4 linked regions of the Arabidopsis thaliana genome follow. The protein of the gene in region 2 interacts with the protein of the main gene of each other region in a pairwise test. Each region holds a gene or a part of one and is shown on either strand. Other genes may lie near its edges. The genes, in order: AT1G22490, GATA19, AT1G02210 and AT1G48040.

What was found.
Region 1: the proteins of GATA19 (region 2) and AT1G22490 interact in a two-hybrid assay, tested with the Arabidopsis thaliana proteins (one large-scale study listed by BioGRID).
Region 3: the proteins of GATA19 (region 2) and AT1G02210 interact in a two-hybrid assay, tested with the Arabidopsis thaliana proteins (one large-scale study listed by BioGRID).
Region 4: the proteins of GATA19 (region 2) and AT1G48040 interact in a two-hybrid assay, tested with the Arabidopsis thaliana proteins (one large-scale study listed by BioGRID).

The regions. Positions count from the first base shown.
Region 1 is NC_003070.9:7,937,919-7,942,993, reverse strand, and holds AT1G22490 (basic helix-loop-helix (bHLH) DNA-binding superfamily protein), read left to right. Parts: upstream 1-2,368; 5' UTR 2,369-2,504; coding exon 2,505-2,942; intron 2,943-3,408; coding exon 3,409-3,951; 3' UTR 3,952-4,397; downstream 4,398-5,075.
Region 2 is NC_003075.7:17,268,008-17,272,205, forward strand, and holds GATA19 (GATA transcription factor 19), read right to left. Parts: upstream 1,993-4,198; 5' UTR 1,656-1,992; coding exon 1,368-1,655; intron 1,247-1,367; coding exon 899-1,246; 3' UTR 682-898; downstream 1-681. Other genes in the region: EMB2754 (Vacuolar sorting protein 39), read right to left, coding at 4,081-4,198. UniProt on the Arabidopsis thaliana protein: Transcriptional regulator that specifically binds 5'-GATA-3' or 5'-GAT-3' motifs within gene promoters.
Region 3 is NC_003070.9:426,552-429,687, reverse strand, and holds AT1G02210 (NAC (No Apical Meristem) domain transcriptional regulator superfamily protein), read left to right. Parts: upstream 1-1,876; coding exon 1,877-2,140; downstream 2,141-3,136. Other genes in the region: NAC003 (NAC domain containing protein 3), read left to right, coding at 1-226, 318-440, 589-786.
Region 4 is NC_003070.9:17,718,648-17,724,001, forward strand, and holds AT1G48040 (Protein phosphatase 2C family protein), read right to left. Parts: upstream 3,245-5,354; 5' UTR 3,052-3,244; coding exon 2,881-3,051; intron 2,398-2,880; coding exon 1,417-2,397; 3' UTR 937-1,416; downstream 1-936. Other genes in the region: mtLPD1 (mitochondrial lipoamide dehydrogenase 1), read right to left, coding at 1-35, 222-494; Ku80 family protein, read left to right, coding at 4,851-4,865, 5,241-5,333.

The sequences.
Region 1 (5,075 bases), on a different chromosome or scaffold from region 2:
GAGGATGCATGAGAAAACAAGCCCATTGGAAAATTGTAAGCTGTGTTCTTGGAAAAGTACTTGAGAGTTGAGAGACAAGAAAAATAGAAGCTTGTGAGGTTACATGGACTTTTCTGGACATATGCTCATGGCTTCTCCTCTCAATTGTTTTTACTTTTTTCAGAAAAGAAAAAACATCTCTTTAAACGTCTGCATCAAAAACAAAACTCTGCTATGATCGATAGAAAATAAATATCACTCGTGCGAAAATATCTACATGTTAAACGATGAACTAAAATGATTAAAAAGTAATAAACATAAAGGATGATCGAAACAAATTTTTAAATATTAAATAATAATCGACCAATTAATTTTGAGTTTGATGATGTACAAATAACATTAGGTACACGTATTCAAAGGAGACAAGATTACTATAGCTTAAATTCAATTTGAAGTGCATACAACAAGATTCTTTGTATCATCATGAAAAGTTTGTCCTGCAGTTTTATGTTCACATATTATTTATTTTTTCGGCAAATTGGTTCAGATTTTAAGATTCCAAGTGTCCGACCAAATTTGATTACAAAACGCAGCCTAGTCACATCTATCTAATTCTTTAAATTTTGTTTTCATATCAAAATTGATTTCTACTATTATATATTCCCAGAGTGATTAGATCAGAATAATCAAAAGATGCCACCTAATTTATATACATAACTTTTTTGGTTTTTGATGTTGAAAAGTAGTGACAAAAGATTTTTAATAGACCATCATTTTATAACATGCAAGTAAATATCTCGATTTAAATATATTTTTAATAACATCACGAAACAAATTTGTTAAAACCTGACATAAAGTGATCCCCACCGGCCAAAATAAATCTTCTATTGGTTGTGTATTTTCTGACAAACATTTGTTTTAAAGATTTTTAATTTTAATCGGATACTTAACCATATATTTGATATGGAAATACATTATATTTTTGTTTAAAGTAAAATAATAGAACATGAGTGTAACTAGACGACCCCCAACCTGCAAACAGATTATTTGGTCTTGTGGACTGGTCTACTACTATCTCACGTGCAAACTTGACGCTGCAATGTATACATTTATCTATATGCATCTATGTATCTAAATAGTAATTAGTAACCATAGATAATGGATCTAATTCCACGAAGTTGGATAGATATTCTAAGGTAATATCTGGTAGAATTTTAATTTTCAAACCAAAAAAATTGTTACCAGATGTGAATGCGTAGAACTAAAAATTAATTGGCGTAGACCGTCCTAACTGGAAACTCAAATAACTTTGTTTACAAGTAGCATGTAACTGTATATATATAATGCTTTAGAATTTTTATGGTCCAATTGAAAATTTCACATTTTCGTTTTATTGTATCACTCACTTGTCCGACTGACGTAGAATTGCACGTCTTAATTTTTTTTTGGCGAAAACGCTAATCCGCAACAAAAAAATTTGTTAAAGTAGTCCGTAACTTTTTTTTTGGTTAAAGTAATCCGCAACATGACATATTAGTACTAACGAACTATTGTTTTTTCTATTAATTTTTTGCTATATTTAGAATTTTAAGTAGTTTAGCCATCACCATCTGTGTATCCTTACACTATACATATTCGGAAAAACTCGAAAGAGGTTTTAACTGGTTATGATCACCACCAGCAGTCCAGCACCAGTTTTCTTTCACTCGAACGTCAATATAAATTCACTGCCCACTATATCAGCTTTACCATTTCTTAATAAATTATTTATTATTTATTTGATTTTGAACTAAGAAAGATTATGGGTTTTTAGGAATAGTTCCAAACAATTAACATCTTAATAATAAAATTACTATATAATAAAACTAATTTATATTAAAAACATTATGAACAATTTTTTTCTTTATTTTCTTAACCTCTAATTATTATGAACAAGTTATTTAAATACAATTGGGATGATTATTACAAGTGCACTTTATATCTCCTTTTCAGTGTTTTTTATATATATATTGGTGACAAATACATCTTTTCTTTAGTTTTATTTTTCTTTTCGTTTTTGATCTCTGCGGGAGCATTTATTTTTGGTCAACTGTGAGAGCATCAAAAAAAAAAAAAAAAAAATTAATAGCCTCACAAAGCTTCTCTCAATTCCCTTTTTAAATAAATCACACCACTTTGTTTGATCCTCATATTTCGGTTTTCACTCTCATATCTTTCTTTTGTATATTTATTTTTGTTGAAGATTCACTCTCCTATTCTTCCTCCATGCCGGTGAGTTCTTGAGAATTTAATATTTTGTAAATCAATTTACAAAAAATCTTCATATAACTAATACCATGCTTAGTTTCCTTTAGTGGGCTTAACCCTTTTGCCTTTATTTCCCCCTCGAGACAAAAAGGAGAGCGACAAACACTTCCTGTCTAAATTTTGTTTTCTCTCCTTCTCTCTCCCTCTCTCGGTTTCTCAATCTTTCTTATTTTTTCCATAATTCTGAATTTTTCTTTTCAACAATCTCCGGCTAAAAAATGCCCTTAGAGGCTGTCGTATACCCGCAAGATCCATTCGGATATCTCTCCAATTGCAAAGATTTTATGTTCCACGACTTATACTCTCAAGAAGAGTTCGTAGCTCAAGATACGAAGAACAACATTGATAAGTTAGGGCATGAACAGAGCTTTGTGGAACAAGGTAAGGAGGACGATCATCAATGGCGAGACTATCATCAGTATCCTTTGTTGATCCCTTCGTTGGGAGAAGAGCTTGGTCTTACCGCCATTGATGTGGAGAGTCATCCTCCTCCACAGCACCGGAGGAAGAGGAGGAGAACGAGAAACTGCAAGAACAAGGAAGAGATCGAGAACCAGAGAATGACTCACATCGCCGTCGAGAGAAATCGCCGGAAACAGATGAACGAGTATCTGGCTGTGCTCCGTTCTCTAATGCCGTCGTCGTATGCTCAAAGAGTAACTTACTAATTCAATGTTTATATATGCTATATATCATTTGGTCAGGGTCATTCTTAGGTATATGTGTCTTTGTTTTATTACTTGCTTGGCTGTAGTACTCATTTCTCCATAATATATTAACACAAAAGAATAGAATGAAAATGACTGAGAATATATATTGATGTTTTTATACAATATATTAACAAGAAAATCCACCGTAAATATGGAAGGGTGACGCGTTTATATACATACTAATAATCTTTGCTGTTACATATTTTAATGTATTTTTTAAAATAAAATATTATGTGTCACCAAAAATTAGAACGAGTATGATTGAGAATATTGGGATATGTTTTAGAACAATTTCGTAATAAACTTAAGCAATTAGCAATGATACGTGTGTGTGTATATTTATACATTCAAAGATTTTTTCAATCTTTATGATAACTATATGATCTGACATGAGCGGGTTTTGGTGGTAAAGGGAGATCAAGCGTCGATAGTAGGAGGAGCTATAAACTACGTGAAGGAGTTAGAGCATATTTTACAATCTATGGAGCCGAAGAGAACTAGGACTCATGATCCCAAAGGAGACAAGACTAGCACTAGCTCGTTAGTGGGTCCATTCACAGATTTTTTCAGCTTCCCACAATATTCTACAAAGTCATCATCAGATGTACCGGAAAGCTCATCTTCACCGGCGGAGATAGAGGTTACGGTGGCAGAAAGCCATGCGAACATCAAGATAATGACGAAGAAGAAACCGAGGCAGCTTCTTAAGCTCATAACTTCTTTACAAAGCCTAAGGCTCACTCTTCTTCATCTCAATGTCACCACTCTCCACAACTCCATTCTCTACTCCATCAGCGTCAGGGTACGTACATTTTCAACTTCTCATCATTACTTTGTTTGCTTTTGGGGTAATCATGAGATTAAAGTGAGTAATGACTGTGTGTGTGGTGCATATGGTTTCACTTTGTTGATTTATTTTTTTGTCTCTTATTGTTGGGGGGAAATTTTGGATTAGTACTATTGTGGTTATGCCTGGGCTTTAAAAAGGTTGTGAAGAAAAATTAAAATCATTCTCTTTGTTTTTTTCTTACCTCCTTTGGGTACTTAGGGCTGGGGCCTCAATAGTTGTGGGTCAAACTCATAATCATCATTTTGATTATTATTTTTGTCAATAATAAATTGCGTATCTTAATCGTGCCTGTAAGAATCAGGGGACCAACCTAAAGAAACGAAACACGAATATGTGTCTATCTATATCCACGAATTGTATACGTGGTGTTGTGTATTTATATATGTTTATGTATATGTTTATGTACTGTGGATATATGTTCGGTGGTCACATAATTGTAGATGAGATATGTACGGACAACGAAGTGAGTCCACCATTTGTTTCAGGAGATATTTAGCAAATAGAAAGATATTTTGTTATAGTTATCTACATCCTTCTAATTTTGTTTGTTGCAACTTTTTTCAAGAATTGTTATGTATATCTTTATTTCTTAAGAGAAAATGTGTTGGTTCAGGTTGAAGAAGGAAGCCAACTGAATACCGTGGACGACATTGCAACAGCTTTGAATCAAACCATAAGGAGGATTCAAGAAGAGACATAATTCAGCAAATAGATTATAATTAACTTGTTTTATTTTTATTTTATTTTGAAATAACTGAAATCAGTTTTCTAATTTTTTTTTTTTTTCACTATTCCTCTAATCCTCCCTATGTAAGTTGCATTTTTGTCTCTTGTAATGAATCAATGGTCATAAAGATCTGAACAAAAAAATTGAATAAAAGAAAATGGTTTAAGTCGATAAGTATGTGACATTGGGCGCTAATAGCCGTTAGGCCTACGCCTAATGTACTTCTCAGTGTTTTTAGGGTTGTGTTTAGTGTATAATTATAATGATTAATAGTATGATTGATTAATTTTTGAATTTATTTTCTTCAAAGATGAATTCGTCTTTTTCTAGAACTTTTAAAGTTTGTGGGTTCAACTTTTAATCCGTTAATCACTAAATTTTAGCATGCTCCTACGATAGTGGAGGTTATACCTTTGGCTTTGAATGCAAACAAATTCTTTCTATCTAGTAACCCAAGAAAATAAAATTGAAAATAAAAAATTTGATATACAAGGTTGTATCT
Region 2 (4,198 bases):
AAATTCTGAAGACATTTAATTTTATTCGTGAAAAAATAGAAAAACATTTCATTATTATTCTAATTGGAAGACAAATTTAGTAGTTTAGTGACTCTTTTTTCGTCTTGACTCTCATAAATGACTCAAAAAAAAATTGTTACTCTCGCTTTCTGTTGTTATAGAGTTTCAAAACACTTTATTATCTTGGATTGTGTTTCCGGAAACAATCAAATAAAAACTAACGTTTTTTTAATACAATAACTAAACACGTTATGAAAAAGATAAATATTCTTCACATGCAGTTGGCAGCAACAGTTTTAAGCAGAGCAGCACACGAAGACCTAATTGATGGTCAAATTTCCAAGACAATTTGGGCAAAACACGACAAACATTCAGCTTGGCCACCCTGCAGATATTTGTTGGCTTAATTTTCAAATTCGGTCCAAGTATTTGATTATTTCAATTTGGAAAAGAAACTCACAAATTAAACGTTTAAGATATAAGTATTTGTGAAGATAGTATCTGCATCCCAAAATATTCACATTCTCCGTACAAAAACCCAAAGATGCTTTAAAAAGAAATTAAAGGAATGAATATGTATTCTGTATATGTATAGTATATCACTGAATCGTGGTCAAAGTAGGACACACATCATGTAAAGGTTATAAAGTCACGAATTATTAGTTCATTACCCGAGAGAACATTTTAAAAGTCATGCAAGGAAAACACAAGTAGCATCCATCATACGAATTATAAATTTAAGAAAAACACTTACACAGAGACCAAAAAAAGACATTAAATATTTATATTTAAAGGAAAGTAAAATAAAGAATTTAACGAAGGCTAAGACTTTTCTTTTTTGTTAAAAGGTATCCAAGGCTAAGACTTATAAGGGGAATATCTATGAAATGATCACTCATCACATCGTAAAATCGTGGACAAGGCCGGTCCGGTCGGCGACGTTAAGCCTCCAAGACAAGAACGGGTCGGTTGTGACGTCATGATCAACAACTCTGACATCATCAACGTATGAGTATTCGTTATTGGCCGGCGAGTAATATGGAACTCTCTGCGTATTATGCTGATGGTGCCAAGGCGACGATGAAGCATATTGGTTATTATTGTTATAATAATAATTTGCACTTGCTTGATGATCCAAAGTTGGAACTCCAGCTGCAGTTGATCCTCCGCCGGAGGTCGAGTTTCTGGCGGTCGATGCACGTCTCTCTTCTTTCTTGAATCGGATTCCACACGCATTACACAACGACTGACCAAATTAAAAATCATATAAAGTTATTATCAATATTTGTTTTGTTGTACAGAGAGAAATATTAGTCCCACATCAAGAAATGATAAAATATTTGATGTAAAGGTTACATATTAAATACCTTGGGACCTCTTGGACCGTTTCTCCAAAGAGGAGTAGAAGTGGTGTCGCAGTTGGCGCAACGGCGAGCGAGGAGGTTATGTCCGCCGCCTCCACCGCCTTTCTTGGAACCGTTCAAGAAGTCCCAGCCTATGGTGTCGGAGGTATGAGACGAGAATCTACGTTCATCATCCTCGTTGCAGAGGCGAGTGGAGGGAGTTCCAAGTGAGAGAGTGCAGTCAACAGAAGCATATGGAGAGGAATGATGGCTGACGTCGTTTTCGGGGGAGAAGAACATTGAGAAACCCATCACTATATATGAACTTGGAAACCCTAGAAAGTTGATATTAAAATATATAGAGAGAAGGAGAAAGAGAAGTGTGTGTTGTGTGTGGTGTTTATGAGATGAATAAGTTCTCTAAGGAAACGGTGAAAGAAGAGTCAGCCAAAACAAAGAAAGAGTCCACGTTGCTGTTGTGAAATGGAGACAAGAAGTATTTATAGAGAATTTGGGAACTTGGCAAAAGAGGAAAATTTGGTCCCGGTCTTATTATGTGTGTATGATTAATCTATGCTTTATTCTTTTGTTCTTTAGATTTACATGTGAATTTGCTCCTTTAGTTTGTCTACAAAGATGTTGCAATGAATATTCTAAATATGTGTTGGTTTTTGTTCAGTTCTAAGCGATTTTTAATAACAAAACGTTTTAACCTAACAAAATTAATTAATGATACTGCTCCGAATCTAGATTATTATGCAAATTCATTGCATACCGTATAATATTCCACGACCAAGTACCAAGTGAGTAGTCTTGTTTAACAATGCTAAGCAAACTACAGTGTTTTGATATATTATTTAAATGGTAAAGTAAGAAAATAAATGATAAGTACATCTGCAGTTAAAGCAGCAGAGAGGAAGGTAGTCAAAAAAGAGGCACGTGACTGGCAATGTCACGGTCTTCCAAGGATCTGGTCTCTCTCTGATCACGATCATCTCGAAATTAAACGCTCCTTCTCTTTCCGAATCTCTTCTTCCACACGTCATCGCTCGCTTCACCAATTCGACGTGTCATACTCTCATATATGCATGAATCCATTTTATGTTCTAAATTCAAATAGTGTGCGACACTGTTAATGTTCACCGCACTACAATTTCAGTGGCTCTCTAACGACAGTCGTAATAATACAAATAAAATGTTGTATATGACGTATAATTATGTTGTTTTTAACCTTAATCAAAAAATTTGTTTTGTATGTGATTGAATATTGTTGTTACGATTGTGGTCAAGCATGAGAGATCGTAATCGCCAAGATCGGTGCTTTTAAGGAGTTAAAAGAACAAAACTAGCCAATGTTCAAGTTATAAGTGAACTAAAAAGGAATAAAGACAAAGTGAGATACTTTGCAATGATTTTAAAGCAATTACATTGTGTTCTTTCTTTAGCTTGGTGAGAGTTATTCTATGTTTCTATTGATTTAGTCAAAGAAGCAAACTCCAACCAAAATTTAAAATTTAAAAGAAAAAGGGTACAAAGAGAATGAACCCATCAAATGAGTACACTCTGTAGCTCTAAGCTCTTATTTCTTTATCCTTTATCTTCTTTCTCTTTTTATCTAATTTTGGATCAAATAACGAAGTTACGTTATCTCCAAGAACAGATCTATGTTTTTTTTGCTTTCAAAGTAAGGTTTTGTATCAAATAATTTTAAATTTGATCGGCCGACCCATTTTTGGATCAATTATCGTAATGGGGTACGTCAAAATGTGTAACGTTTTTATACTAATTTTATAAGCTCTCAACTAAAAAAAAAAATATTAAGAATAAATAAATTGTACGTTTTATGTTTATATATACTATTATTTGAGTTTCATTATCTTATTTACCAACATTCATTTCATTTTATTACAAACATGAAATATCAACTGTGTTTTCTATAAACCTCACTCGTTCAACAAAAGGAAAACAATCAAATTGATGAGTTTTAAGAATATCAATTCAATAATCTTGTTGGAGGATGTCGTGTGCCGCCAAACACGAGTGGACAAAATGCGTGAAACGGGAAAGAGTAAAAAAGATTAAAAGAACACCAAGAGACCCAGAGAGAGAGGGAACAAAGAGAATCGGATCGGTCTTGAGATTGGTTAATTTTTGGTTCAATTGAGATACGGCGACCACCGCTTTCCCAAAAGATGCCTCTCTGTCTCTTATGCTCTTTGCTTCGTAGAACACGAAACCTAACCCTAACGATTACCCCAAGACGCAAAGTGTTCGACTTCGTAATTTCACATTACATGTCATGTCTCTTCACTCACGTGACTTCTAATCTTATTATAATCTAACTGAGCTGTTGAAGCCTGATAACGCCTAATCCAGCCCACGTTTCTTGGCCCATCATATCACCTTCATTTGGTTGAATGTTGTTAGATTTCGCACTAACATTCGTTATTTTCTTCGACAAGTCCCAATTACACAAAAATGAAAAGTCTTTATATAAACTAACAGATTTTACAACAAGAGCCAAACTGGTTTTGTCAAGAGTCAAGACCATCATTTTGAACCAAACACAAAAAACCACAGAAGAAAACACCAAAAAAGTAGCTCCAAATCTCTCTCTATAAACAGACAAACAACACGAAAGGAGCTTTTTCTTTAATTGCACTTTGGGAGTTTTGTAAAAAAGAAAAGATGGTTTAGTGTCTTAAACCTCTCTTTGTTACAGTAATTGATGATTACCTCATCGTCTTCTTCCATGTGTTGTCTTAGAAACAGCTTTCATGCCTTGAGAATCTCTGAAGCATACAAAGTGAACTAACGTTTTCCCGTTGGGATAAACAGCAAATACGCTTGTCCCT
Region 3 (3,136 bases), on a different chromosome or scaffold from region 2:
GGTAAAATGGCTGATGAATGATGAGGATGATGCTCAAATCGAGGATGCTATACCGATTGAGGAATGGGAAACATGGTTGAATGATATTGATGATGCTAAGGAGAAGAGTATCATGTTTATGCATGATAATCGAAGTGATTACAGACCTCCAAACTCATTAACTGGTGTCTTCAGTGATGATGTTAGCAGTGATGATAATGATTCTGATTTGCTAACTCCAAAAACAGTAAGCAAATTTCTACTTTTGTACCTTTATAATCCTCTGTTTTCGTATTTCACCTTACAAAGCTCAAGTTTTTGTTTCATTCATTTGACAGAACTCTATTCAAACTTCGAGCACTTGTGATAGTTTTGGTAGCTCAAATCATCGCATAGACCAGATCAAAGACCTGCAAGAATCTCCTACCTCAACAATCAACTTAGTGTCACTAACTCAAGAGGTGAGCTTTCTTATCTCTCTATCTTTCACTGAGGCAAACAATCCTTAATGCTACTTTGTGCCATCACTACTAACAACACAAACAATCAATGATGCTACTTTGTGCCAACACTCATTACAACGACTTTGTTTCTTTGTTATGATTCAAGGTGAGCCAAGCTCTAATAACCAGTATTGATACCGCCGAGAAGAAGAAGAATCCTTATGATGATGCACAAGGGACTGAGATTGGTGAGCATAAATTGGGTCAAGAGACGATCAAGAAGAAAAGAGCTGGTTTCTTTCACAGGATGATACAAAAATTCGTCAAGAAAATTCACCTATGTTCTTCCATCTCAAGAACTTGATAACAATAAAAGTGATCAATAACACCTTTTCTACTTTCCAAATTATTTACAACAGTACAAGTGTATGCTATGATGTCTATCTTGGTTTGTAACTTTACCATACTGTATGTGTGATATGTATAAAACTGGTAAATTTGTGAAGACAAATTTGTATCCATTGACATAATAATGTCTATCTTGTTTTGTTACTTTCTCATCTTGTATGTATGCTCCATTGTGAAGACAAAGTTGTATAATTTCTGCTCATACAGCTAACCAAATGCTCAAATTTTATTTGACGTACCCTATCAAGTATCAATCAACCTCGAAGTACTATTCTAGTCCTACCTAACCCCATAAACAAATTCCATTCAACGAAAGAAAACAAGAATAAATTTCAAATTAAGATGCTTCATTTCAGTAATGTCAAGAGTCTTTTTTTGGACTTTCAAGTCTACATCATATATGTACACGTGCATGTTGTCATGTTGATGGCTAAATCCAAAACCCATTAGACTATTGTTTATTTGTTTACATTATCCTATATCATGTAATTTTAGTAATCTTTCTTTTTCTTCTACATCACTTTCATTCTGTTTCTTGTTAATTCCTCTGTTTCGGCGTTCAAAGACTTTGCTTTCGTTTATTATACATCAAATTACGTACCTTATTCGTTATATCTTCTTCAGAATTAAGGAATTTTTTTATGTTGCCCAAAAAAAAAGAATTTTGTTTTTCTAAATTACCTACATATAAAAATTGTAAACCCTATTTTGCATTTTTCATCGCTCTCTATTGTTTTTAACTTTATGGGTTTATTCGATAAGAATGAAATATCCGGCGGATTTCAGATTCCGGCCGACAGATGACGTTATCATCGAATATTACCTCCTGCTAAAACATCTCGGCATCAAGGAAGGCAATATCATCATTTCATTACCACCGTTAAAATCTCTAGTTACGATCCTTGGCATGTGCCATGAAAGTTTTGGTCAATTAATGCTAGATCATGATTTTCTGATTCAATCATTGATTATAGGCTGATTTCTGATTTAGGTTTTTTTTTTTAATAATTATTATAGCCAAATCAAAGAGCGAGTGGGCTGATACTATGGTATGGTTCTTCTTTAGTTGTGATGAATATAACGAAGAAATATTGAAAACGAATTCGGGTTATTGGAAAGAAACTGTATCCAACACACCAATCATTGGCAAGTGGATAACTAGTAATGGTGTTAAAATTGGTGAGAAACAAGTTTTGGTTTTCCAATCGTATGAAAACATCAATGGATCCAAATCCGATTGGGTAATGCACGTGTATCAACCAACGTTTTTGCCTCCTAATCAGGTAATATTCCGAATTTATGATGTTTAATCACCGTGTCCTTTTTTCTCAACGATGTTATGAGAGAATCTGCCGATTAGCCCTAAAACAATCAAATTTTAGGTTATTTGGTACATATATATATATATATATATATATATATATATATATTATCTTACTTAATTAACACGATCATATATTATATCCTATTTGGTTTAGGTTGTCGAGAAATAGTTAAACAAATCGTACGTGCATGTTATTTGTAAAAATTACCATCCATCTTAGTTAAACTATTGCCTAAAGCTGAGAGTGTTGTGTTTCAAACATCAGGACCACCTCTTCAAATCACAATCTGATATATCTCTACACAATGGTTACTAAGATACATGTCGTATATTTTCTTTATAAATTTGTTAAAAATAAAACTTGAAACAAAGATCAGCCTGAGTAGGTTCAATTTTTGTCTACGTGTGGTATATGATCTTATACGTAGAGTGAGTTTGAACGTTTTAGTGAGATATCTTATGGGCTTTGACGACAGAGAGCATATATTGTCTGCAAAGTAGAGTTCAAAAGTGAAGATAAGGAAGGATATTAGTCGTTGTGGTAAATCTGGTATAATTGAGCTTAATCACTCTTCAACCTCTCGTATTGACCATAACGGAACTTGGCTACTAAGGTCGGTTGAACATTGATTAGTTGTGTCATTGGATATGAATCTTTTGAATATAAAAAGATATGCGCCTACCACTTCTATTTATATTTAAAATATTCATGAAAGGTCGTGAAATATAGTACAACAAAGCAATACTATAATAGAAGAAATTTGTAAAAAGATTTTAAAGATTCCAAATAGCTTTTTTGGTTTTGGATTTTTCTCGAGGTAGTTGAAACTGTGCCATTCGTTGAAAAGTAAATGCGGCGCGTTAAATTTGATGCATCCACGTGACCCAATGAAATCTACATGCCTAGATTTGGTCGTTACTGGCGTTTGGAAACATAACTTGGGCCACCACTACTACTTCACATTCCCTACTCCCAACTCTT
Region 4 (5,354 bases), on a different chromosome or scaffold from region 2:
GCCTCATGGTACATATGTGAAGAGTGAAGCAGAGCCTAATACATCAATAAACACAACCAAGAATTTAGTAATTATGGAATAACTGTGCTTAAGCAAATGATAATCATCACAAAAGACAGTAATTAACTCTCAAAAGAATCATCCACAAAAGGAACAGATCAAAATCGTCAACTATGATCAACAAATTGATTGAAGAAACGAGAGATGATTCGAAATTTGACCTTGGAAGGAATGCAACCGACGTTGAGACAAGTACCACCGAGAGCGCCGCGTTTCTCGATACAAGTGGTTTTGAGACCAAGCTGAGAGGCTTTGATCGCGGCTACGTAACCACCGGGACCGCCGCCGATGATGACGACGTCGTTTTCATCAGATCCTGATGAGGCGAAGCCACGGGAGAGGGAAAAGGAGAATCTGAGAGCGTCAGTGGGAGAGTTTGATAAGTTTCTGGTGAGAAAATACGCCTTCCTCCTAGCTAAACTCGCCATCGCCATTGTTGTTTTAGAGAGAAAGAGAGACTTGGCTCCTTGTAGAGATGAACAGAGCCGGCAAATGTAAAGAGGAGAGGCTCTCTTAGAACCCTTTTTCTCTTTTTAATCACAAATATTTTAATATTTCCTTAATTGACCAAAAATATAGATAAGTAAATAAATCATTTATATGAATGAATACTTGAATTTCTAATCTCAATTATGTACACTAAATATTTGAAATTGATTACAAAGTTACCTTAATGCACACTTGATTTATTATTATTTTCTTGTCAACATTTGAATTACTTTTATAAGTTCTAGACTTCTAATTCATATGTAAAGAAATACACCAAAAAATATTTATGTATATGTAATGAAAAATACTGTATTGTAAAAATTATCAAAAAATATACTCATCAGAAATATATGGACATGAAGATTGTTGGAGGAGAAGAAGATAAAGAGATAAAGATAGAGATGATGAGAAGCAAGTAAGGACAGGATTTGAGGCTTTTGAGATAAACCTCCAAAACCTTTCACAGTCAGAAAGAAACTCTCTGAATTCCACATATATGGGAGAGAGATTCTTAAACCAACCTCCAAAATCTAGATTCAAAATAGTTAAAATTAAAATTCCTTAAAACAATCAATAATGGGTACAACATCACTAATCCTCAAGAACAAAAATGAAATCCTCTTAATCAGTTTCAATAATCCTACCAAAACTTCAGGCTGGTTTTTCTCTCTATCTCTCTCTGAAACAAACCAAAAAAACAGATCAATCAAAAATGAGAAACCACATTACAAACAAGACCTTAACTCTCTATCACTCTCTACGTCTCTTATTTTATCTCATCGAATCGAATCTCAAATTAGAGAAATAATGGTTTGATCGGTAACACCCGATCCCTGTTGTTTGTACATACTGCCAAAAACACTGCTTTCACTCGCCTGCAAGCATTGCTTGTAACCGAGCTCGGGCTTCGTCAGAAACACAGAATCTTAATCTTCTTCTTTGCGGTTGTTTAGGTGAAGACGGAACTGAGGAGAAGCAGATCACTATAACCGTCATATTATCTGATGACTGAAGCCTCGCTGCTTCTTTTCCTAGTTCCATCGCACATTGTCTCGGGTCACCATGCCTCCTCAATCCTTGCCTTACATTACTCACTGCATTCTGGCTTGACAACACATCCCATATACCATCACATGCCAAAATCAAGAACTCGTCGTCCTCTGTTAGAATGATCTGTCCAATCTCTGGGTCTGAAATCAGTGGTGAAGAGGAGTCAGTGAAAGGATTCTTCAGTTCCCAATCTCCAATGGCACGCGTGACAGCTAGGACTCCGTTGAGGTATCCATCCTCAAAGTATCCTCCTAAATCTTCAATCCGCCTTCTTTCTGGCTCATATGTTGATCTGTGATCGAAAGACATATCAACAGCCACTCCTCTCCTACATAGCACTGCACGACAATCTCCAGCATTAGCAACAAGAAGATGTCGTCCGATTATGAGAGCGGTCAAAGCGGTTGTCCCGCATGAACCACTGACAATGGTTTCATCAGCCATGGCAAGATCAGCCAAAGCAAAAGCCTTTCGGTGAGAATTCTCCAGTTCTTCTAAGAAAAACGCGTCCACAATGGAGGGCATCTCTGGAAACACAGCATCTTGGAAAAACAATCTAGTCAAGTTCTCCTTCATGAAAATTGCTGCCTCAGGCCCACCATGACCATCAAACACACCATAAAAAGCACTTGGTACCGAGAAGTTGTAGGATCCAAGGTGAGCTGACAAATCATCTATGCAAATGTGTTCATCCTCCATGGTTTCTCGACTTCGAATGTCAGCAAAGCTCCCTGAACGTATAGTTGGGATAAAGTCACTGGCGGATTCTCCAATGGTAGTAGTTACACAACTCATGCCCTGTTACAACAAATGTACATAAGAAGGTTTGTTTAAGATTCCTGAACTTGGCACAATTAAAGAAACAGAACAGCCAGAACAGAGCATCAGAGTCGTTCCGCTAACAATGTAAAATTGATTCATGAACACCTAAACTAATTCTTCATGCAAAGGTATAAACTTTCCAAAGCACAACACTAATCTTATCATTTTCCATTGTCTACACGAACCTAATCGAAGAGGGTATGTAGGATTCAACATTATTATGCAATAGAGAACAAAAAGAAACCCAAAACTAATATAAGCCCTGATGCAGAATCGGATCATTATCAGAATTTCAAGCAACGGTCTAATCTCAAAATCAAATTATAACTCCTAATCTAAACCAACAAACTCAATTACGAGAAAGAAGAATCCACATGATCTAATTTCTAAGGGAAATTTCTAAGAAACCCAATTAATAAAAATGAGCGATTTTTAGAACAAGAAACCAAAAACACATACCGATCCGAATCGAGGCGTTTCAGCGGAACCCGAAATCTCAGCACGGACAGACTCAGAAACACGAACTTCGTCGATCTGAAAATTCTTCTGATCTTTAGGAGCGGAGATATGGCACTTAACGTCAAGAACCCTGATCTCAGCTTCAGCAACCATTGTTTGACTCAAAATCATGACTTGGTTAATAATCAAATGGAGTAGATCCGATTGCGAATTTCACCGAAAGGCAAATCGACGAATAAATCAACGGGGTAAGAGGTGGTGCTTTGCTTGGACGCAATTGAAATTCGCCTAAAAGAATAAAGAAGACAGGGAATGGGGAATTAGGGTTTGGTTTCTGTGTTGGTTGTTTATTTGCATATTTCTTAATTGACCCATGCCTATATTTAATATAATTTATAAATTTTAATGTATTAAAATACTGTTTTAAAAATATTTATTTTACTAAAAAAGAGTTAATTTTTTAAGCCCAACTTCCATATACCATATTGGACAAGAAAGTGTAATAGATTCTTATATATTCTTTGTGATCTCTAGTTTTCTTATCTACTTTTTTTTGTATATTTAAATTCACATATTTCCCACATAACCGCAAATGTTACTTACAAATTCAATGATTCAGAAGATTCCAAAAATCTAACTGGAACATATATAAACTATAAAAAGACTGTTTTTAAATATTTAGTTTAAATTAAAAAGTTTTTTTCAACTTTTAATTTTCTAAGCCCAACTTCCATATGGGACTCACAAAAAAAAAAGGGAAAGGTCCAGTTTTATTTGAGAATATGTAATAAGTTCTTATACATTTTTTGTGATTTTAGTTCTTTTTTTTTTAATCTATTTTTTTTTGTATATCTGAAATTCAAAGTTCCAACCGAACTGCCTATGACGAACAAATTCAATGGCTTAGAAGATTCTAAAAATCCAACCGAAACATATATAAACGGTAAACATAAGACTATTTGATGTTTTAATAAATTGAAATTGATCTTACAAAAAGAAAATATTTAATTGTTGTTACATATCTATTGTTTTTAAAATGCAGAAATTATACCAAATTAAATAATAATATGAGTAAACAAAGTAGTAAACATATAATATATAATCTAACTGTTTTTTTTTAACGTTGAAAGTTCGCAACAACATTTTTAACTATTTGTATGTGTTTTGCATTTTTGAAGAAAAATCATTATTTGACGGCGAAATAAATTACATACGTGTATTCTTGGTTAAGAAACAAGACAAGTGTATACAAATATGTGTGTGGTGACGCGAGGTTGATGATTTTGAGCATTGGGCGTGACTTCACTGAAGTTGATGATTTGATATCCTTTGTGAATAATTGAATCTTGTTCGTTCTTCTAAATGTGGGTTGACTTTCTTTCTCAAAATGCTCTTTGTTCTCCCTTTATCCTCGACGATCTCAAGGTCGGGTCTTACCACATCTTTGCGACATAATTAATATAGGATGCCTACCGATCGGTACATGGAAAAATTCAAGTTTGGGATCCTACTAAAAAAAATATAGGATGCCTACTGAAAAAAATTAAAATATGATAATGTGTTTATGAGGTTTTAAAATGGAAAAATAATTAATATAGTGAAAATAATTTTTTGTAACTGTATTTCTAAACTTTAAATAAAAAGTAAAATTTAATTGTTATGTTTAGATTCAGAGGGATATATACTATATAAGATATGATTCATTACATACTTTATTAAAATACCCATTTTTGTTAAATCTACAGAGTCCATATTGGAAGTTGGACATATGGACTTTTTCTTAGATAGTTTAGCCCAATGGGCCTATCTCATTTTAAGGCCACGTTAGAGTCAGTCAGCCTATTTTCAAAAAAATAAAATAAAAATTCTTCGTCTTCTTCGTTTCACCATCTCTCTTTTTCTCATCATTCTTCTTCTTCTTCTTCTTCTTCTTCTTCTTCTTCACCTTCTTCTTCCAGCACAACTCCTCAATGGCACGAAATCGGGTATAATTTCTTCTAATCTTACTTCGTTACATATTAACCTTCGTTTTTTTTTCTTATAGGTTTCTTCAGAAATCAATTCAATGAAATTAATACCTTCTTCAGCTTCTGTTTGTTTTCCATCGATGTTTCTTTTTCTACTTAGTTTCGTGCATGTTATTCTACATTGCTGCATACCATTTCTTCTTTGATAATTCTGTTTATGCTGATTTTGACTTCGTTTTATGCTCAATTATGTTCTGGATATCTCATTGATTCATTTTTGGAACTGTTCTTGGAGTAATTTAGGGTTTTAATTTGTCATTTCATTTGAGAGAAATTAGTCCTGCTCGATTTTACTTTTAATTCGATGTGTGTGTGTGTGTTCATCGGAAGCAGGAGGGTTTGGTTTTGGTGCTCGATGTAGGTCCTGCGATGCGTAGTGTTCTCCCTGATGTTGAAAAGGCATGTTCAATGCTACTTCAGAAGAAGGTATACGATCTTTTTCTTCTG